3 linked regions of the Sus scrofa genome follow. The protein of the gene in region 1 interacts with the protein of each later gene in a pairwise test. Links are inferred from orthologs where the notes say so. Each region holds a gene or a part of one and is shown in the gene's direction. Other genes may lie near its edges. The genes, in order: C2H11orf68, EIF4H and CSDE1.

Evidence for each region.
Region 2: the proteins of C2H11orf68 (region 1) and EIF4H interact in binary tests that used the Homo sapiens proteins (3 or more experiments, as listed by UniProt). The two-hybrid records come from large-scale screens. The link is inferred for Sus scrofa from reciprocal best matches to the Homo sapiens genes C11orf68 and EIF4H.
Region 3: the proteins of C2H11orf68 (region 1) and CSDE1 interact in a two-hybrid assay, tested with the Homo sapiens proteins (2 studies listed by BioGRID and IntAct). The link is inferred for Sus scrofa from reciprocal best matches to the Homo sapiens genes C11orf68 and CSDE1.

The regions. Positions count from the first base shown.
Region 1 is NC_010444.4:6,408,201-6,415,392, forward strand, and holds C2H11orf68 (UPF0696 protein C11orf68 homolog), read left to right. Parts: upstream 1-3,745; 5' UTR 3,746-3,831; coding exon 3,832-3,998; intron 3,999-4,048; exon of another isoform or gene 4,049-4,395; intron 4,396-4,687; coding exon 4,688-5,444; 3' UTR 5,445-6,086; downstream 6,087-7,192. Other genes in the region: DRAP1 (dr1-associated corepressor), read right to left, coding at 1,530-1,635, 1,977-2,065, 2,277-2,604, 2,886-2,979, 3,094-3,166, 3,413-3,454.
Region 2 is NC_010445.4:11,333,157-11,340,248, forward strand, and holds part of EIF4H (eukaryotic translation initiation factor 4H), read left to right. Parts: intron 1-4,465; coding exon 4,466-4,653; intron 4,654-7,034; coding exon 7,035-7,092. UniProt on the Homo sapiens protein: Stimulates the RNA helicase activity of EIF4A in the translation initiation complex. Binds weakly mRNA.
Region 3 is NC_010446.5:105,823,140-105,830,231, forward strand, and holds part of CSDE1 (cold shock domain-containing protein E1), read left to right. Parts: intron 1-23; coding exon 24-116; intron 117-733; coding exon 734-831; intron 832-4,387; coding exon 4,388-4,469; intron 4,470-4,785; coding exon 4,786-4,914; intron 4,915-5,027; coding exon 5,028-5,153; intron 5,154-5,774; coding exon 5,775-5,987; intron 5,988-7,092. UniProt on the Homo sapiens protein: RNA-binding protein involved in translationally coupled mRNA turnover.

The DNA.
Region 1 (7,192 bases):
ACCTGAACTCCTAAGAGGGTCCTCTGCCGCCACCAGCACCACGGGGGAGCCAGCAATCTTGTCAAAACCCGTTCTCAGGGGCTCGCCTAGAGTCCCAGGGCTCACGTGTGCCAAGTGGGAGAGGCCACACTCAGAAGGGTCATGACCTCATTGTGTCTGACTGGCCAGGCTGGTGGTCCCCTCTCCTCAACCTCACAGGCTGCACAGAGGTGGTTCCCCAAAAGTAAGTACAGAGCAGGAGCAGATGAGAAGCAGATGCAAGCCACGTGCCCCCAGTTCCAGCCGCCCTGAGCCCAGGGCTGCCACCCTGCCTCCTACTTGGCGGGGAAGTCACACACTGCCAGGTAAAAACGGACACCTCGACTCTCCAGCAAACCCACGCGCCCCTTTCCCTTAGGCTGGGGGCTCGCAGGAACCCCATCTCCGGCCCTCAGTGCCCTGCCATCCCTGCAGCCCCTCCCTCACAAGCTCGCACCCCCCCCTCACCGGGAGCCGCTGCCCTCTGTGGTCTCCACCTCCAGTCCTGAGCGCTGCTTCCCCTCGCGGCCAGTCCCATCCCGCTCTCCCCGCCTCTGCTCCTCCTCCCTGGAGCCCCTGGTGGGCACCGCAGCGGCTCCTGGGGCCCCTCTGGGGTCCCCCAGGGCCCTCCCACGCTCTGCTCACACACCTGTCTCCAGCCCTGCCACCCAAGTGCCACTCCAAACCCCGCCTCAGTGGGCTCACAGCGCCCCAAATTCATCACAGCGGACCCTGTGATCTTCCTAACCCTCTTCTCCCCCGTCTCCTGGGTAGAGGAGAACCCCCACCCCCACCCCCACCCCCACCCCCACGCGAAGACACCCGAGTCCTTGAGGAGCCCCTTCCATCAGCACTCACGTCTGTGGGCAACCCGGACCTCTAGGCTGCCCATCGCTGCCCTGGCCTCTCCAGGCCGCTGCTCCCTGAACACAACACATCCGCCTCATCGGCCTCGTATGCATAGCTCCAGGGTCTGCTCAGGGCCCCTGGGGGCTCACAAGCCGGCCTTCCAGGTCCCCCATGACCTCACCTACCTCTGCTCCCGCTGCCCTTCCCACATGCCCTTCAAGGGCACTGGCTCCAGCTCTAGTTTTCAAGAGCTGTCTCTGTCACCTGTCCCATCTGTCTCTCTGCAGCAGCCCAGAGGGGGCAGAATGGTCTCCCTCAGAGAGACAAGAACAGGCTACTCAGAGTAGGAACCCGCCCAGGGTCACAGGGCACAACAAGACAGGCTGTCTCCCGGCATGACTGGCACCTGCCGGCTCAGGCCCTCCAGCACTCTGCCCACCTTCCCGCCATCAGCACCCCGGGCCCGGCCCCCTTCAGTCAGCTGCTGCCCAGCCGCCCTGGCCCTGGCTCAGTGTGGGGAAGGAGGCCATTAGGCCCTGGACAAGAGCTGGGACGGATACTGGAATTCCCTTTTATTTTTTTTTTTAATAAATTTAAGAACAGCTCTACCCTCTTCCCCCCAGAGCAGCTAAAAGGGGGTGTGGCCTGGGGGGCAGAGGGCGCTAGGAGTCATAATCTTCTTCGTCCTCTGCGTCAGGTGCTGCGGGGACCTGGGGCGCTGGGGGCAGAGGCAGAGTCGAGGTGAAGGGCGTGAAGGGTGTCGGGGGGCTGCAGGGCAGAAAGTGGGAAAGGAAGATCAGGCCACTCACCTGTGCCCAGTCCTGCCCGCTGAGCCCCACCCGGTCCTCCAGCCAGGCAGGCCTGGAGCCCACTGCCCTCTACCAGCAGGGAGCCGAGCCCAGAGAAGGGAAGGACCCAGGGCACACAGCCCTGCCCGGGGGAGGGGACTTTCTGAGAGCACAGAACCCAGCCGTTAAGTCCTCTTCAGTTCCTCCCGTCCCGTCTCCCAAATCTGCCACAACCAACAGAACCAAGGCGCCTGAGCGGTCAGAAAGGACAAGGCAGCTGGGGACCAGCTGGCCCCCTCTGGGTGCCACCGACCTGCTTACCTCTGAAAGTGGGCAGGGGGCTGGCTGGCCTGGGATGGGGCCTGTGATGTCTCCTCTTCCCCATCAGTATCTGTATCCTCAGACTCATCCTGGGAACAAGACAGGAATCAGAGGCGACAAGAAAGGCGTGGGCCCATTACTGGAAAGCCGGACCTCTGCAGCCGCCATGTGCAAGGCAACCAACACAAAGAGGTCACAGGTGAGGATGGGACCAGGCCTCCAGCCAGCTGGGCCTGGCCTGATGCAAGGCTGCCCTCTCCACCCTGCAAGGCAGGACAGAGGGCTGGGGCCTCAGCTCACCTCCTGCTCCGAGTCTGTCCCCGACAGCTTCTTGTCCTTGCCTTTGCTTCCCATGCCACCGTTCTTCCGGCTGCCGCCGCCTGGCTTCCGGCCCCTTCGGGAAGGTGGAGTCCATCTGCCCAGAGGTCTCCCCACTCCTCTGCCATCCCCCAAGACACCTCCAACCCCGGGGGCCTTGGCCTTCCCCACATGGACACTGACTCCCCACCTGCGAGGACCCTTGTCCCCGTCCATGTGGTTGTCTTCCCCATCTCCCTGCATGTCAGGCACAGAGGCCACCAGATCCTTTAAGAAGTCAAACTGCTGCTCCAGCTCAATGCACTGCTTCCTGGAAGAGGTGGGGAGGGAATGGCACTCAGGTGAGGCACAGATGTCTGTACTCTCAGCAAAGTGCTCTCTGGATGTCAGGGGAACAGAGCCTGGATCGTTTCAATCCCAGCCATGCCCCCTTTCTTAGAATACCCAGTCCCTGCCAACTCAAACCTACCAGCCTTTGAGTCCTCGCCCAGCCGCCTCCCACCTCCCTCCCTATCAGGGCACAGCCTCCCCTAAGCGTGTGGACTCCGGGCGGAGGCCCCACACGAGCCCTCCCAGATCGGAGCCACTCACAGGTGGGATGTGGTCATGGTCTTGGCATTTCTAGACTGGGTCACTTGGCAGGCCTTCTTCAGCAGTGACTCCAGGAAAAGCTCGAGCGCCCGAGCTGAGGGTCGTCAAGGCGAACGCGGGTTCTAACAATGTCCTGGCCCCCAAAAAGCGACCCGGGGCTGCCGGCCTCCCCCGCCTCCCTCAACCCAGCCAGCCCTCGACAGGATACAGATGATGACAGGCACAGCTGCCGCCACCTTCCCAATCTCTTCATCCGTCTGCATTATCTTCTTGATGCGTGCCTGAGGAAGGGGCAGAGAGCTCGGACCCCGTCGCCGCGGCCCCCGAAAGGGTGCGCGGGGCGGGGGGCAGAGAGAGGGAGCATCCCGGGAGGAAGGGGGCGGGGGGCACCGACGCGGAGAGGGCACGGAAGGGGGCGGGGCGTCCGGGCCCCCGAACGGCGCGATGCGCCCGCCTCCCTGGCCGGGCCTGGGCCGGAGCCTCCCGAGAGCCCGGCTCGTTCCTCCCGAGGCCGGCCACGTGCTCACCGGCGGGAACCGCGCGTTGTACTTCTTCTTCTTGCTCGGCATCTCGGGGCCTCTCTCGCCGCGCCGGGCCCAGCGCCGCCGCCCGCAGCCTCCCGGCCCCCGGGCCTGCTCGTCGCCCGCCCGCCGCGGTTCCCCCGGGTCCTGGTGCCGCCTCCTCCGCCCCCGCCACTCCCCCCACAGGGTCCTAGCGCCGCCGGTCAGCACTCGGCCGGCGGGGCCCGAGCGCCCTCCCCTCACAGCCTCCCGCCCGGTGCGCGTCTGTCCGGGACTGGACGGCCGCGACCGCCCGCCCCCAAGACCTGAAGAGCGAACGTTAGCTCCGCCCCCCGCAGGCCCGCCCCGCCTCGCGTTCCCAATGGCCCCGCCCCCGGGGTCAGCACCGCCCCGACGGCCCTGCCCCTTCCCCCCGGTCCCGCCCTATGCTGCGCTTGTCTATAAAGTTGTTGTTGAGGCGGCGGGGCAATAAGATGGCGGCGGCGGCTGCAGCCGTGGCGGGGGCGGGGCGCGGCGGCGGCGGCGCGGAGCCCCGGCAGGAGCGGAGCCGGGCCCGGGGCTGGGCCGGCGCCGAGCGCAGCGAAGGCCGGAGGTGACGCCCGGGCGGCGGGAGGGGGCAGGGCGGGGCGGGGCAGGGGCGCTGCTCGGGCCGTGAGCACTAATGGCGGCGGGCGCGGCGGGCGCGGCGGGGCGGGAGGCTGGCCCTCCCGCAGGCTCTAACAAGCCTGGGTTCGAGTCCGGGCTCGGCCCGTTGGCCTCGGATTGGTCACTGCCCTCTCTGGCCTGCATGTCTTCGTCTTTAAGTAGGCGGGATAACGCCCGCCTGGAGGCCTGGCCCTGTGGGGCCTGTCGGGGTGCCTCGTTCCATTACATCCCAGCGCCCGGGAGACCCGCCTGCCTTGGCAGCGTCGGGAGCCGCAGCTGGGCCGGCGGCCCCCACACCCGAGTTCACTTTTCGGCCCTTTCACGCACTGCAGGTGTGACCTTGGGTAAGCCCCCTCCTCTGTGAGCTTCAGTTTCCTACTCTGTAGGTCAAGGATAGTAGTGATAATAGTAACAGCATTTATATAGTTCTTGTTCCACCTCCTAGTATTTAATTCTCTACAGCTGTTTGAGACGGGAGCAGCTATTTTTCATTGTACAGATGAGGCAACTGAGGCACAGAGACATTAAGTTTTGCCCAAGGCCGCAGGGATTAGTTCAGTGCCTGGCACCTACGTGCTCAGGCCCAGGAAGCTGGATCTGTCCTGGACCTGCCCTAACTTGGTTCCCACCCGGCAGGATGGAACCAGGCGAGGAGCTGGAGGATGAAGATTCTCCAGGTGGTCGTGAAGATGGCTTCACTGCTGAGCACCTGGCCGCAGAGGCCATGGCAGCTGACATGGACCCCTGGCTGGTGTTTGATGCCCGAACCACACCTGCCACGGAGCTGGATGCCTGGTTGGCCAAGTACCCACCATCCCAGGTTACCCGCTATGGGGACCCTGGCTCTCCCAACTCTGAGCCCGTGGGCTGGATTGCAGCATATGGGCAGGGCTATGTCCCCAACTCAGGCGACGTGCAGGGCCTGCAGGCAGCCTGGGAGGCTCTGCAGACCAGCGGGCGCCCCGTCACACCAGGTACCCTGCGCCAGCTGGCCATCACCCACCACGTGCTCTCGGGCAAATGGCTGATACACCTGGCACCTGGCTTCAAGCTGGATCACGCCTGGGCTGGCATTGCTCGAGCCGTGGTCGAGGGCCGGCTTCAGGTAGCCAAGGTGAGCCCACGGGCCAAGGAGGGTGGGCGGCAGGTCATCTGTGTTTATACGGACGACTTCACGGACCGCTTGGGTGTACTGGAGGCAGATGCCGCCATCCGCGCGGCAGGCATTAAGTGTCTGCTCACCTACAAGCCTGACGTCTACACCTACCTGGGTATCTACCGGGCCAACCGCTGGCACCTCTGCCCCACTCTCTATGAGAGCCGTTTCCAGCTGGGAGGCAGCGCCCGTGGCTCCCGGGTGCTGGACCGCGCCAACAACGTGGAGCTGACCTAGTGGGACCAAATGGAAGAGACCACCCACTGCCTCCCCTGCGGGGGACGGATCCTCTCGTCTTCCCCCTCCTCGTCCCACGGAGGCCAAGCCCCCCAGCTCTGAGGACTAGGTTACTCGGAAACTGCCTGCATCTTCGGTCCCTTTGAACTTTGGTCCTGTGTTCAGGGCTGACTCGAGTCCTCACTGGCTGGAGGCTCTGGCTCCCTGAGGGCCGGACCCTCAGCCTCTCTTTGCCGCTGCTCCCCCCTGTCATCCAGGACCACGGGCTGGGTGCAGACGCCAGGAGGAGAGCCTGCCTTGGCTGCTCCCTCCCCTGGCTCTTCCCTCCTCCTGCATCCTCCCCTTCTCTCCCTCCCTCACAAGAGAGACAGCCTCGTGCTTCCATCCCTCTCCCTGGAGCCTTCACGGTCTAGGGGCAGAGGCCCCCGCAGGCCTGAGCATGCCATTTTGTTGGGGACGGGTGATTGTTCCCACTCAGCACCTGGCAGAGAGAGGGGGCCAGGGCCATGGACATGGGGCCTGCCCCTCCCTGCCACCTCAGAGCCCCTACCACCTTCCCTCTTTCTTTGGCTACCTTATCATGTGCCTGCTTCTGGCATTTCAATAAAACCCAACTTGGGTCTGTGTCTTGAGTGTTTAAAATGCTGTGCTGGTGGTTTCCTGCTTTGGTCGCTGGAGAGAGGCAGGGCCAGCAGAAACTGTGCCTGGGCCCCATAATTGCCAAGGCTGGATACCTCTCTGAGAGCTTCTGCAAAGCCAGCTCTGTGTCCCTTCCATTCCCAGAATCAGAATCCATTTGGGGGTAATCTCAGTGATGACCCATAAATCCAAGGGCTTGGCCCAGCAGCTCTGAGGAACTGTGCCCACTGGGCGTATGTGTGTCTGTTAGAGAAAGGTACCCTTTTGGTCCTGACAGTTTTAGGCCAGGGCATATGGTCTGGTGGGCAGAGGATGGGTTGGGTTTCTGCTGCCTAAGCTGGATATCCTTGTGCAGTGAACAACCTGCACAACCGTAAGTAGCCCTGGAAGTCCTTCGTTTACACTCACCTCTTGCACTACCCTGAACATCGCAGAGGCCACTAGACTGTTTGCAAAGCACTTCATGTGGATTATTTCATTCTCGCGACCTGACAGGAGATTTTGACCCAATTTATGGTCAAGAAAATGGAGCCCAAGAGGAGAAGGGCGTTCCCTCAGGGTTATGCAGTGAGCTGGGCAGGGCAGAGTTAGAACTTGCACCCCAGTCCTCCTTGGGCAGAGTGTGGTCCCTGGCCTCACCTACAATTAGCCCTTCACAGCCCAGCAGCCACGTTCACTCACGTGACCTCACAGGCCCACACCACTCAGCTGAGGCTGCTATGGCTTCTGGCTCCCAGCCCCCAGCCCCAGCCCTGGCTTTGGCCTTGATTGGAGGCCAGGGTGTCTGGCAGGGAGCCCCTTGGGCTGCTGCTCTCGTGCTGTGCAGGCGCTGACTCAGCCTCCAGCAGCCTCATCAAATTGGAATGTGGGACAGGGGAGCGGAGATGCCACTAGGCTGACTGGGTGGAAGTGGGTGAGTCACAAGATGCTGGCTTGGCCCCCTCCCCAGCTTCCTCCCCACCCGGAGCTTCCCCAGAGCTGAGTCCCCCTCAGCCCAATCCTGGGAAGTCCCCAGAGTTGGGTGGTTGAGTTGGAGCCTGGTGCCCTGCTCTCCTCAGACTGTCCGTGCCTTGCACTTGACCAAAGTGGGCCAAGGCTTGGAGGGATCC
Region 2 (7,092 bases), on another chromosome or scaffold:
TATGCTCATAAGTATTTCGGGACAGCACGTGAAAGTTGTTGATGAGCCCTGATGAACTACCTCAGATATCACCCAGAAGTAGCAGAGCACCCAGTGTTCCAAATACCAGAGAGGTTAATACTCTTATGGTCATGGTATCTTGGCACTGGTCTTAAAGTTTTAAGAATGATAGCAACCGTATGTAAATCCGGTATAGTTTCTAATGCATCTAAAAATCTTTGTAAAATTCTTTCCCAGAAATGGAGTTCCCGTCATGGCTCAGTGGAAGCAAATCTGACTAGTATCCATGAGGACATAAGTTCAATCCCTGGCCTCACTCAGTGGGTTAAGGATCCAGCATTGGCCATGGGCTGTGTTACAGGTTGCAGACGTGGCTCAGATCTGATGTCACCGCAGCTGTGGCATGGGCCGGTGACTTCAGCTCCAATTCCACCCCTGGCCTAGGAATTTACCTATGCCATGGGTGCAGCCCTAAAAAGACCAAAAAAAAAAAAAAAAATTGTTTCCCAGAAATAACAGCACGTGTCCTTTATTTTTTATTGTATTTTACTGATATATTTTTATACTTTGGAAGCAGGTCTTGAGCACTTGATCTTCTGTTTCAGCCGCTTACCAAATCTAATCTCAGCCCTAATATTCTCTTCTCTTCTTTTTTTCTTGTAGTCATGCTTCCTCTAATCTCTCCTATGTATCTTCACTTATATGTTACCATCTTAGACTTCAGTGTTTTGTCTGCTGTCTGGAAAATAGAATCCAATTTCCTTTTGCTCAAATGGTGCACCCTGCTTTCTCCTGAATTTTCTGCAGTCCTTTACTTGGGATGTGATTTACCCTTTCTAGGTGCCTGGACCCCCTTGGCTGAATTATGGTCTCCTTGAGGGTAGGAACCGAATCTCAGGTTTGTGCCCTCAGCATGGTGCTCCGTATTTAATAGACATTGTTACTTTATTGATTTGAATGAAGAAAAGTGATTTGTCTGTAATGGGTTTTGGAAAATCGCACCTGGAGTTGAAAGTTGAATTTCTTAAATTACTGAGGATATAGTCATTACTTTTAAAATTTGCATATAGACTGTCTCCTATGGGCAGCAGTAATGAGCAGGGGGGACCATTGCTCAGCGGTGGGGGTGATAGGGCCTGGGAATTAGCAGCACAGATTATCAGGTCTCTCTTTGTTGTCGTCGTCCTTTTAGGGATGCACCTGCCAGCTTGTGGAAGTTCGCAGGCTAGGGGTCGCATTGGAGCTACAGCTGCTGGCCTACACCACAGCCACAGCTACGCTGGATCGTTAATGCACTGAGGGAGGCCAAGTATCAAACCCTCATCCTGATGGGTACTAGTCAGGTTCGTTTCCACTGAGCCATGGCGGGCACTCCAGGTCTCTTTTTCTGAACTGCAGGGTTGGGGGACGGGGAGGTGTCTACCCAGACCTCCAGCTTTGCCTCATCTGTTGGCCTATTTTCTTTTCTTTTCTTTTCTTTTTTTTAACCGCATCTGTAGTTGTATAATGATCATCCCAATCCAGTTTCACAGGATGTTGGCCTGTTTTATATACCACAGGTCAGTCTGCTGCTTCCTGACCATTGTATTCTGAAGCAGGCCTAATCTACCATAGACTTCACACAATTGATATTATGGGGTTTTTCTTTTTTTTGGCTACCCCTCGGCATATGGAGTTCCCAGGCCAGGGATCAGACTGCAGCTGCAAGTGTAACCTATGCTGCAACTGCAGCACCACCTGGTCCTTTTTAACCCACGGTGTCAATCAAACCTGTGTCCAGTCACTGCAGAGATGCCACTGATCCCATTGCACCACAGCGGGAACGCCATACCTCCATTTTCTTTTTTTTTTTTCTTTTTTTTTTTTGTCTTTTTGCCATTTCTTGGGCCGCTCCCGTGGCATATGGAGGTTCCCAGGATAGGGGTCGAATCAGAGCTGTAGATCCTTAACCCACTGAGTAAGGCCAGGGATCGAACTGGCATCTTTATGGATGCTAATCAGGTTCGTTAACCACTGTGCCACCACGGGAACTCCCCAAATGTTATTTGGTATCTTACACGTTCAATATCCAGTCCCAAAGAATATCTTGCTGAAAATATTTTAGGTTTTATGGTTATGGGAATGCAGAATAAGTAAACTTATAAACCACATTTGCAGCCAAAAAGAAATTTATCTATCAAACACTTTGAACTTCAGGTTGTAGATGGCGGTGGTCACTGCTGCTGTGATGGTCACTTGAAAACCTATTTTTCTGGTATTTCTAGGACAGAATGAAGGATTTTCTATTGGGAAGTAGCAGAGTTCTGAGTTATTAAACTTAAATTTTTTAGCTAAGGATTATATCATAGCCTGGTCCTTCTGCTTTAAAAAAAAAGTGTTGGAGTTCCCATTGTGGCTCAGCAAACCCAACTGGTATCCATGGGAATGCAGGTTCTATCCCTGGCCCCACTCTGGGTTAAGGATCCATTGTTGCCATGAGCTGCAGTGTAGGTTACAGACATGGCTGGGATCTGGCGTGGCTGTGGCCAGCAGCTGCAGCTCTGGTTTGACCCCTAGCCTGGAAACTTCCATGGCTTAACCTCTTCTGCCATGGGTGTGGCCCTAAAAAGCAAAAAACAAAAAACAAAAAACAAAACCTTGCCCTCACAAATGCATAGGGGGACAGCTTCCCTGCTATCTACTGCTTCCCCAGAGTAGAGCAGTACACTTGTCCCGTCAGTGAACCTGCATCGATAGTGTCATTATCACTAAGTTACGTTAAGGTTCTCTCTTGGTGCTGAACATTCTATGGGCTTTGACAAATGTATAATGGCCCCATTTATTTGTTAATTATTGGAGTTCTCTTGTGGCTCAGTGGGTTAAGGATCCAGCGTTATGAGTGCTGTGGCTCGGGTTACAGCTGTGGCATTGGTTCATTCCCTGCGTGCCCAGGAACTTCTGCATGCCACATTTGCAGCCAAAAAGAAATTTATCTGTCAAACACTTTGAACCTCAGGTTGTAGATGGCAGTGGTCACTGTTGCGGTGATGGTCACTGCTACTCTGCGTATGTGTACTGTGTGTCAGGCAGTATATGGAGCACCTTGTATTATTTCTCAATAATTCAAGGTCTTGGTTAGTATAAACCCAGATTTCCAAATAAAGTTTAGAGAAATTGAGTAACTCCTCAAGGTTATATGGTGGTGTGCATATGTGGCAGAGCTGGGATTTAAACCAGTACCCCTGCAAATTAGCAATGATGTGGTAAGAGTCAAGTTATCTCGCCTTTGCCACTTTTAAACCCTACAACCATGGACAAGTAAACACCTCTTGTCATAGCTAAGGAAGTGACATTGAGGTTTAAATGGATTAATATGCACCCTAAAATTGAGGCCTCAGGGGAGTTCCCATCGTGACTCAGTGGTTAGCGAATCCGACTAGGAACCATGAGGTTGCGGGTTCAATGCCTGGCCTTGCTCAGTGGGTTAAGGATCCGGTGTTGCCGTGAGCTGTGGTGTAGGTTGCAGATGTGGTTCGGATCCCGTGTTGCTGTGGCTCTGGCGTAGGCAGGCAGCTACAGCTCCAATACGACCCCTAGTCTGGGAACCTCCATGTGCCGCCTGAGCGGCCCAAGAAGTGGCAGAAAGACCAGAAAAATAAATAAATAAATATAAGATAAAATAAAATTGAAGCGTCAGGGAGGCAGTACATGGAGTGGAGAGTGGTATTTACACGGTACTTGCTCCACAAACGCTAATAACTTTTTTTTTTTTTTTTTTGGCTTTTTTGGCTTTTCTAGGGCCGCTCCCGTGGTGTATGGAGGTTGCCAGGCTAGGGGTCGAATTGGAGCCGTAGCCACCAGCCTACGCCAGAGCCACAGCAACGTGGGATCCGAGCCGCATCTGCAACCTACACCACAGCTCACGGCAACGCCGGATCGTTAACCCACTGAGCAAGGCCAGGGATCGAACCCTCAACCTCATGGTTCCTAGTCAGATTCGTTAGCCGCTGAGCCACCCCGAGAACTCTGCTAATAACATTTCTGTTAGAGCATAGCATCTCTAATCAGACCGTAGCAAGACAGTTGTATTATGAATGTGTCAAACTTCAGCTTCAGGGCAGTAAGTGGACAGTCTGTTTCTGTGTGTGTCAGCACTGAGTATGAGGGAGGGCACTGGCTGAACTTCTCTCCTCCTACAAGGATAGGAGAGAACCATTACAGGAGGATGTTATATTTGGATTTGATTTTTCAGGGAAATGTATGTCGACATAGATTCTGTGTTTCTGTGGACATTTCTGTCATCCACAAGTAAGCACCTTTTTCATAGGTGATTTTTTTGGAATACACGTCATCATTTCGGAAGTAGTTGTATGCATTAGATAGGACTATTTCACCTGGGTGGTGTGGCTGAGTGGGAGATGTTTTCCTTGGCCCTCTGGGGCAGGAACAGGTGGTCAGACTTGAATCCTGTCTGTTTCCCTCCTAGGTCCCGTGGCAGTGCTGGTGGCCATGGTTCCCGTAGCCAGAAGGAGCTGCCCACAGAGCCCCCCTACACAGCCTATGTAGGAAATCTACCTTTTAATACGGTTCAGGGCGACATAGATGCTATCTTTAAGGATCTCAGCATAAGGAGTGTACGGCTAGTCAGAGACAAAGACACAGACAAATTTAAAGGTGAGTTTGGGGATTTTTTACTGTGCACTATTTTAGGCAGGGAAGGGTCTAAACCAAGAGGCTGTAATTGTGAAAGTGTTTCAAACATTTGCCTGATCCAGGCAGATAAAATAAGCTAGCCCTTTAACTCATAGGTCTTCAGTTCTGTTGCGGGTGGAGGGGACATGGTTTATACATAATCTAGCTTGTAGAATTAGGTAGCCTATAGCCAAGTAAATCTGGAGTTTGCCTGGCCTATATAGTAGCCTGTCTCTGCCAGAAAAGGAGTTACTGCACAATAAATGAATGGTTAAAACCCAGGACTTTTCAGGTGCATCGCACCTTGGCTGACACATGCATTTTCCTTGGTGGTGTTCCCATAATCTAGTTTATTATGGAGTCCAAAAGGGAACCTAGTGCACGTTGTCATTATACACTTGTGACTTCAGAGCCTGCGTGTGGGGAGGGGTTGACTCAAACTGCAGGTTAATCACGGGTAGAGAAGGGGTGAGAATGAGGAATCACATGGGCATTGTCATCGCTTGCAAGGCTTCCGGAACCAAAATGCCCTGTATTTCAGTGTGTGGTGCAAGATACAGGGCATTTGGTTTGCTTTATTACCCAGAAAGAAGTGTGTTCATGAAAAGTAGAGGGACTGGGGTGTACAAGAAGCATAGCTGCTGCTCATCAGAGTGGCTCTGTATATATTTTTGTCATTTTGAAAGCTTTCTGACTTAAGAACCTAAAGAAGGCCTTGTTATAGTAAGTGAGCAGACAGTGGAAACAAACATCAGTAAAGCTGGTAAAGGTAAGTCCCACTGCTGGGAAGCCTTAAGAACCAATTGTAAGGTAAAAATGTGTGGGTGAAGCTGCCTTTTGGGTTGGGTCGGTAGCAGCAGGTTTTAGAGTTTGTCTCATAGAAGGGCAGAGGTAGTTTCAGTAGCTCCAGGATGTGAGATGTGTGACTAGGCTGGTGTTGCCTCTTTGAACTTGGAAGTGGTTTTCTCACTTCCCTGAACAGTGAATGAATCCACTGAGGGGAATTGGCTTGATGGGGAGAGGGGAGCTCCACCTAAGTAGTATATTCCTTTTTTTTTTTTTTTTTTTTTTTTTTTTTTTTTTTTTTTTTGCTTTTCAGGGCCACAGCCATGGCATATGGAGGTTCCCGAGCTAGGGGTCAAATCGGAGCTGTACCTGCTGGCCTACCGTACAGCTTACAGCAATGCTGGATCCTTAACCCACTGAGCGAGGGCTGGGATCGAACTCACAACCTTATGGTTCCTAGCGGGATTCTTTTCCACTGCGCCATGACGGGAACTCCTATGCAGTATATTCTTTACATAAGCACATGGTGAACAAAAAAGTTTGGCCTCAGGCTTTTGAAGCACTTGCAGTTTAATGGGCTTTGAAGGTGAAGTGTCATCATCATACAGCATGGGGAGGGGTGGTAATAGAGGTGCAGTGAGCATACGGGGCAGAGGGAGTGTTTGACCCAGATGGCAAGGAAGGGGCATGGACACGAATGCTGAAGGTAGAAGGAAAGGCTTATTCCTTCAAGGTGAGAAAGAGGGCGGGGTTTCCTCTGTCTGGAGTTCTCTGCTTACAGGCCTCTGTCAGAATCTAGCATCAGGGACTCAGGTTGTCCGTAAAGCATGCTTGCATCTCCGTCCGCTCTCCTTAATTAATTGGCATCCCAAGGAAGATGCACTTGTTGCCAAGGGTATATGTTTTTTTATGCAGCTCCCTGAGTAGTGAGTATAGGTAGATTTAGCCTTTTCCTTCAAAGCATGTTTGGTATCGAATTTGCAGTCTGTGTCTTAAAGCCCCTCTTGGGTTATATTGAAGTCATTCAGAGTCAGAACTAACAGCTCTTCAGTGACCCAAGGAAGGCAGGTCACTGAAGACCTGTTATATTTAATTCATTAGTATAAAGACACAGCTGCCATTTCAGTGCCTACTTGATTAGCAGTTTCTGCTAGAACATAATAAAAAGGGGCAAAAAGGAATATAATTAAGAGGGGAATTAACCATCGTGGCGAAACAGAAAAGAATCTGACTGGGAACCATGAGGTTGCCGGTTCGATCTCTGGCCTTGCTCAGTGGGATCTGGCATTGCTGTGGCTGTGATGTAGGCCGGCAGCCACAGATCTGATTCAGCCCCTAGCCTGAGAACCTCCATATGCGGCGGGTGCAGCCCTAAAAAGCAAAAAAAAAAAAGGGTTGGGGGGGATATTAGTCAAGTTCTGTTTATTGAAAAGTGAAATATGCTCTTTTAGGTTCTTCAGTCTACTGCCATCTGGACAGAACAAAAAGTGGTAGTTTGGATATAGGGAAATAGTACAGACCCCTCATCTTTAACCCAGAATTGCTTGAGAAAATTGAAGTGTGTTTTCTCTTAACAGGATTCTGCTATGTAGAGTTTGATGAAGTGGATTCCCTTAAGGAAGCCTTGACATACGA
Region 3 (7,092 bases), on another chromosome or scaffold:
ATTTTTTTTTTTTTGACTGGTAGGTTGTGTGCGCTGTTCCTCACAACTTAGAGAGTAAATCTCCAGCTGCCCCGGGTCAGAGTCCAACAGGGAGTGTATGCTACGAACGTAATGGGGTAAACTTGTGTATTTTTCTTAAACCTTTGCCTGATCCACCATGTGATCTATAAGCGTACTTTAAAATTCAAAATAGAAAACGTAAGCTGCAGTTGATAAAAATCAGTTTTAAATTTGGTTTTGAAGAAGCGTTGAGTGCAGCATAATCAAATTTAAAAAGAAAAAAATCCATAGGACTTCCAAGTGGTTTAGTTTGCCCAAGTGTGACCTTAGTTAGAACATTAAGGTAAAATGCTTCTTTTACTCACTTTTTTGGGGGTTGTGGGAGGGGATCTTTTTTCTGGTTTCTTTTAAGCACTAACTCCAGCTTTTTTGTTTGGAATGCCTTATATAAAAATTGTTTTTTTGAAATATAACTAGCCTTTGGGCAAATGCTTCCACGTGTCTAAACTTTTTGAAGTTGGATTGCTACTCAGCTGTGGACTCGCAGAAGTCATCAGCACCATGGAGGGGAAGTGTGTATTTATATGAATAAACTATGTACTTGTCAAAAGGCATTTAATTTTTAAAAATCTGGCTTAAAATGCCAGTTTAAGAAATATTTAACAAAGTAAATCACAGTATACAGTGAACATGCATCCTGCCAGTATAGTAATAATTACTTGTTAATTCACAGGAAGTGTTTTATCTGACTTACACCCCTGAAGATGTCGAAGGGAATGTTCAGCTGGAAACTGGAGATAAGATAAACTTTGTAATTGATAACAATAAACAGTAAGTTCTTTTTTTCCACCTAAATGATTTTTTTTTTCTTTTTGAAGTAGGAAATTTGGGGCACATTAAAAACCAGACCTGTAAATCTGGATAATTTTCATGATCTTTTAAACTTTTTATTCATCAGCTAAGCATTTGAGGGTCAGTTCTATGACAGGCACTGTAGGGTGTCCGAAATAAGAAGATAAAGAGAGTTCGCTGGTAGCCTGGCACGTTAAGGATCTGACATTGTCAGTGTTGTGGCATGGCTTTGATCTGTGGTCTGGAAACTTCTGGATGCAGTGGATGTGGCCAAAAAAAAAAAAGAAATAGGTAGATAATTAAAACATAAATTATGTTCTAATTAAAACATTAAAATAGTTCCAGAGCTTTCAAGGGGCTGGTCTAGAGCTCAGAAAGGGTTTTTCCAAAGCATCAGTGCTTGAAGTAAGTTTTGAGATGAGGACTCATTAGGGAGATAAGGAAAACCTTTTGGGTAGAGGAGGTATCATTTGGGAGAAGTAGCCAAAAGTTTGAGTTGTTTGAATTGACTGTATCATAGAAAGATGAAATTTGAACTTTACTCATTAGTCATAGCAGTTTTTGAAGGATTTTAAATGGGGGGGGTATATGGTTGGTTTTAATTGTTGGAAGTGGTGGAGATAGGGTAGGCTTTTGGAGAGTAGGGATGCTGTAGGCTAGAGGCAGTGATACGAGAGTTAATATGAAAGATGAGGGACTAATATAGATAGGCCATGAGTGTTTTGATGTAGAAGGTAGGTCATCTTGAGAAGTTTTTTAACTTTTTTTTTTTGCTTTTTAAGGCCACTCTTGTGGCGTATGCAAGTTCCCACGCTAGGAGTCGAATCAAAGCTACAGCTGCTGGCCTACACCTCAGCTCACGGCAACACCAGACCCTTAACCCACTGAGCAAGGCCAGGCATCAAACCGGCGTTCTCATGGATCCTAGTCCAGTTCAGTAATTGCTGAGCCACCAAAAGGGAACTCCACAGAAGTTGTTTTTGGTTTTGGGTTGTTTTTTTTTTTTTTTTTTTTTTTTGTCTTTTTAGGGCCACATCTGAGCCATATGGAGGTTCCCAGGCTAGGAGTCGAATTGGAGCTTTCGCTACCAACCTACACCACAGCAACGCCAGATCCTTTACCCCCACTGAGTGAGGCCAGGGATTGAACCTGTGTCTTAATGGATGCTGGTCAGATTCTTAGAAGTGTGTACTGGAACTAAGGTATTGGGAGTCCCAAGTGCCATTTTTCTGGCTTTAGCTACTGGATAGATGATACTGTTAACTGGAGTAAGGAAAGTCCAGAAATAATTAATACATAACAAAGTATTAAGAGGGGGAGAAGAATTGTCCTTATTTTGGCATTTTGGATTTGAGGTGTCTGAAGACCTTGAATATGTAGCTCCATGTCTGTATAGGCTAGTGATGGGCAGGAAATAGAGCTGTTGAATTCATTGGCATAAGCAGTTAGGGAAAATGTAGTTAAGAAAGCCCCAGCATAATTATTTTACTTTGGAGCCAGAGAGTCAGATACAAGTAGGGAAGAAAGTTAAAAATAGAAAGCTGGAGAAAGTGTTAGGAATGGACTCTCGTTGGCAGTATAGGAAAGTCCCAAGAGTATGTGCAGAATTGTTAACTTTGAACCTTACCTCTTGTAAGACTAGAAGGAATCTGCTTGTTGTAGGTATGGATAGTACTAGTCTGAGGCCAAATTTAATCTCAGGTAGAAAATAAGGGAAAAGGGCTTGAGTTTGAGGGAGTGGGGAGCCAGTGAAAGGGCTTTATTTAACCTTTAGTAAGTTTTGTTTTTTTGTCTTTTTGCCTTTTCTGGGGCCGCTCCCATGGCATATGGGGGTTCCCAGGCTAGGGGTCTAATCATAGCTGTGGCTGCTGGCCTACACCACAGCCGCAGCAATGCAGGATCCGAGCCATGTCCGCGACCTACACCACAGCTCACGGCAATGCCAGATCTTTAACCCACTGAGCAAGGGCAGGGATCGAACCTGCAACGTCATGGTTCCTAGTCAGATTCATTAACCACTGAGCCATGATGGGAACTTCATAACCTTTGTTAAGTTCTTGAATGTGCTAAGCACTACTATATTTTATGTACAGTTGTTAATTCTCAGAACAGCCTCACTTGAGATAAGTTTCTTCATCTGTAAAATGAGCTTTGTTGTCATAAAGTAACTTGCCTAAAGTCATACAGCTTTTAAACTGACATTGGAATGCCAGTCTGGCTCTACATAAAGCCTTTTCACTGTAGTAAGTTGCAAAAGCAAGTAGGATTTTTTTCTAGTATCTTTGTTGGTCTGTTAAGTTTTTTTTTTGTTTTTTTTGTTTTTTTTTTTTTGTCTTTTTGCCATTTCTTGGGCCGCTCCCGCGGCACATGGAGGTTCCCAGGCTAGGGGTCAAATCGGAGCTGTAGCTGCCAGCCTACGCCAGAGCCACAGCAACACAGGATCCGAGCCGCGTCTGCGACCTACACCACAGCTCACGGCAACGCCGGATCGTTAACCCACTGAGCAAGGGCAGGGATCAAACCTGCAACCTCATGGTTCCTAGTCAGATTCGTTAACCACTGCGCCACGACGGGAACTCCTGGTCTGTTAAGTTTTTGAAGTAAAAAGAACAGTTGGGCTAAAATTTGTCCATAAAGAATTAAGGAAAGTAATTGCTTGGTCTGTAGATATTGAAAACAACTACACCAACAAATACTATTACATCTTATATATACTGTCCGTACCATCTTTAAAGCAGAATCAGATTTACATTGCTGCTGCTGAAGGATGGGGACATATAGTAACATGTGATGTATCTGTTTTCACTGGAAGTGAGTATCATTCTTTTTCAAAGTATAGCAAATTTCTCACTGTTGATTCATATTTCTTTTATGGCTATTTAATCAGAAGTAATTGATGGGATAGCTACTAGATTTAGCATTCAATGCAGACAGGACCATTTGTTATTTACTTCTGTATCCCCCATACCTTTGTTCAGAGCACATAGTTCCTGTTCAATGTTTGTTCAACTTAGCATTCCCTATCTTTGGTTGCAACCAGTTCATGACCTTATTTTAATAGTCCAAGAGAACAATTTACATGTATGTGTGCCCGATTTAAAAGACTAGGGAGGGTCTTTCTGTCTCAGCGCAGCGGAAACGAATCCAACTAGGAACCATGAGGTTTCGGGTTCGATCCCTGGCCTTGCTCAGTGGGTTAAGGCTCCAGCGTTGCCGTGAGCTGTGGCGTAGGCTGGCAGCTAAAGCTCTGATATGACCCCTAGCGTGGGAACCTCCATATGTCGTGGGTGCAGCCCTCAAAAGACAAAAAAAAAAAAAAGGCCAGGGAGTTTGAGCAGTAAGTCTTTTGAATAAGGAATCATATGAAAAGAATTATGTATTATAAGCTTTATATTCGCTCTTAGTGATGATATAAAGTTCTCGAGGCCTCAGAAAACTTGTTTATTGTTTCTCTAAACTCAGATCTAACCAAGCCATTTTGTTTTTCATCCCTGTTTGGTCCCCACCATCCCCATCCCATTATTTTTTTTTCCAGTACTGGTGCTGTAAGTGCTCGTAATATTATGCTGTTGAAAAAGAAACAAGCCCGTTGTCAGGGAGTAGTTTGTGCCATGAAGGTAAGTGTTATCAAATTTGAGAAACTTGAGTTTTTTTCTTTGACTGCTTATACTTCAGATCCAAGTCTTTTCTTTTTCTTCTTTGTCTTCTTTTTAAACATATTTCATTAACTTCAAAGGTAATCTTAAGATTTTTTGGTTACTAATTATATTCTTTAAAATGGGCCATCAATGGTATTAATGTTAGACTTTACCCCTTTTTCCACTGTAGTAGTGTTTTATGAAAAGGCTTATTGATTGTAAATGGTAATCATAAGTGTGCAAGTTGAATAGTACATAATATTTTTGCTGTTTCTTCATGCTTGTTTCGCTTTAGGAGGCGTTTGGCTTTATTGAAAGAGGTGATGTTGTAAAGGAGATATTCTTTCACTATAGTGAATTTAAGGGTGACTTAGAAACCTTACAACCTGGAGATGACGTGGAATTCACAATCAAGGACAGAAATGTAAGAGTTGACTAACTGGCTCTTTGGTCTTCTTTTAAGGTCAGTAATGAGTTAAAATTTGAGGAAACAGTTAAAATGACATCCCTCTTCCCACTAAACTCTTTTTGATTTAGGGTAAAGAAGTTGCAACAGATGTCAGACTCTTGCCTCAAGGAACAGTCATTTTTGAAGATATTAGCATTGAACATTTTGAAGGAACTGTAACCAAAGTTATCCCAAAAGTACCCAGTAAAAACCAGGTGAATAATTTTTTTGCTTTGTTTTGTTTCCTTCAGAAGAATCATCTTTTGCCTCATTAGTAATAGAATAATATGGTGGTTACGGTGTACAGAATTTGTATTGCATTCAAGTAATATAATTTTGTGATTATAGAACATATATTTCCTAATATGTATGTTTAAATAAGAAACCATTGATATATCCATGAATATGCTTTTCTTTCTTTTTTTTAAAACTGGATGATACAGAGAAAGGGACAAAAGAAAAAATGCTGGTTGGACTGGAAAAAAAAATAGTTCGAGTGTATATTTCCCAGTTTTGATTTTTCAGAGGGAAGGAGATGAAACCAGTGGTATCATTGCTAAGGAAATGTAAAGCATAAAATACTGAAGTTCTTTTTCTTAAATAAAATCTCTCAGTATCAGAGTGCAGGATTGTAACTTCAGTATTGTGGTTTATGATTGTGTCATGTGACCATAGAACACCAGGCTTTCACATTGGACTTATGTTATCAACACCTTTTTTTTTTTAGGGGATTATATATTATAAATAACGTGGGTTTGCTATGTGTTCTTCTTGTTTGACTTAAAACTAGGAAGGATGAGAAATCTCCAGCTAAAATAGTTTTTCCTTCTCATCAGAATGACCCATTGCCAGGACGCATCAAAGTTGATTTTGTGATTCCTAAAGAACTTCCCTTTGGAGACAAAGATACAAAATCCAAGGTGACCCTGCTGGAAGGTGACCATGTTAGGTTTAATATTTCAACAGACCGTCGTGACAAATTAGAACGAGCAACCAACATAGAAGTTCTATCAAATACATTTCAGTTCACTAATGAAGCCAGAGAAATGGTAAATATTGGTTATTATTAGATACGTATTCAGTGTAAGGGGCAGGCAGGGCAATGTTATATTCAAGTTCGTAATATGGTATTGAAAATTCTTGAGTTATGACAGTATTGGGTAATTACCTCATTAAGGTGATAAGAATACAGACATTTGAGTCAAATCTGGGTTTGACTCCTAGCTCTGCTAGATGTCTTGAAATGGATGAGAAAAGGTGTTTTGTATTGTTTTGTTTTTTTGTCTTTTCTAGGGCCGCTTCCCGTGGCATTTGGAGGTTCCCAGGCGAGGGGTCCAATCAGAGCTGTAGCTGCTGGCTGACACCAGAGCCACAGCAACTCGGGATCTGAGCCTCGTCTGCAACCCACACCACAGCTCATGGCAACGCTGGATCCTCAACCCACTGAGCAAGGCCAGGGATCGAACCCAAAACCCCATGGTTCCCAGTCGGATTCATTAACCACTGTGCCACAACGGGAACTCCAAGAAAAGATTTTATTTTGAATGAAGAGCTAGAGAGGATGATTTCTAAGGCCTTTTGAGAGTCAGTAATTCTCTGGCCATTAAATCTGAAGACTAGAAAAATTTAAGTGCATTACTGTAGAAAGTAGGTTTTCCATAAGATGTTTAGGTTCCATAAGATGTTTAGTAAACACTAGATTAAACGAAGTTAAGTAGTCTTTGTTACTTTTATTTTTGCAGCAGGAGTTTGCAAATCCTTTTTAATGGATATATGTCCAGAAGTGACAGATGGGGAATTGTTGCCCAAAAATATTTTACAACTTCAGTTTTCATGAATTAACATTATCAGTTCTGTTAGGGATCATAACATCTACAGTATATCTCGGTGTTAATAGAACTGTATACATTCAATGATAATTTAAGTTTCTTGAGACTTTTTTTTTTTTTTTTTTTTTTTTTTTTTGGTCTTTTTAGGGCTACACCCATGGCATATGGAGGTTCCCAGGCTAGGGATCTAATTGGAGCTGTAGCCACTGACATAAGTCACAGTCACAGCCATGCCTGATCTGAGCCATGTCTGCAACCTATACCACAGCTCATGGCAATGCTGGATCCTTAACCCACTGAACAAGGCCAGGGATGGAACCTGCAT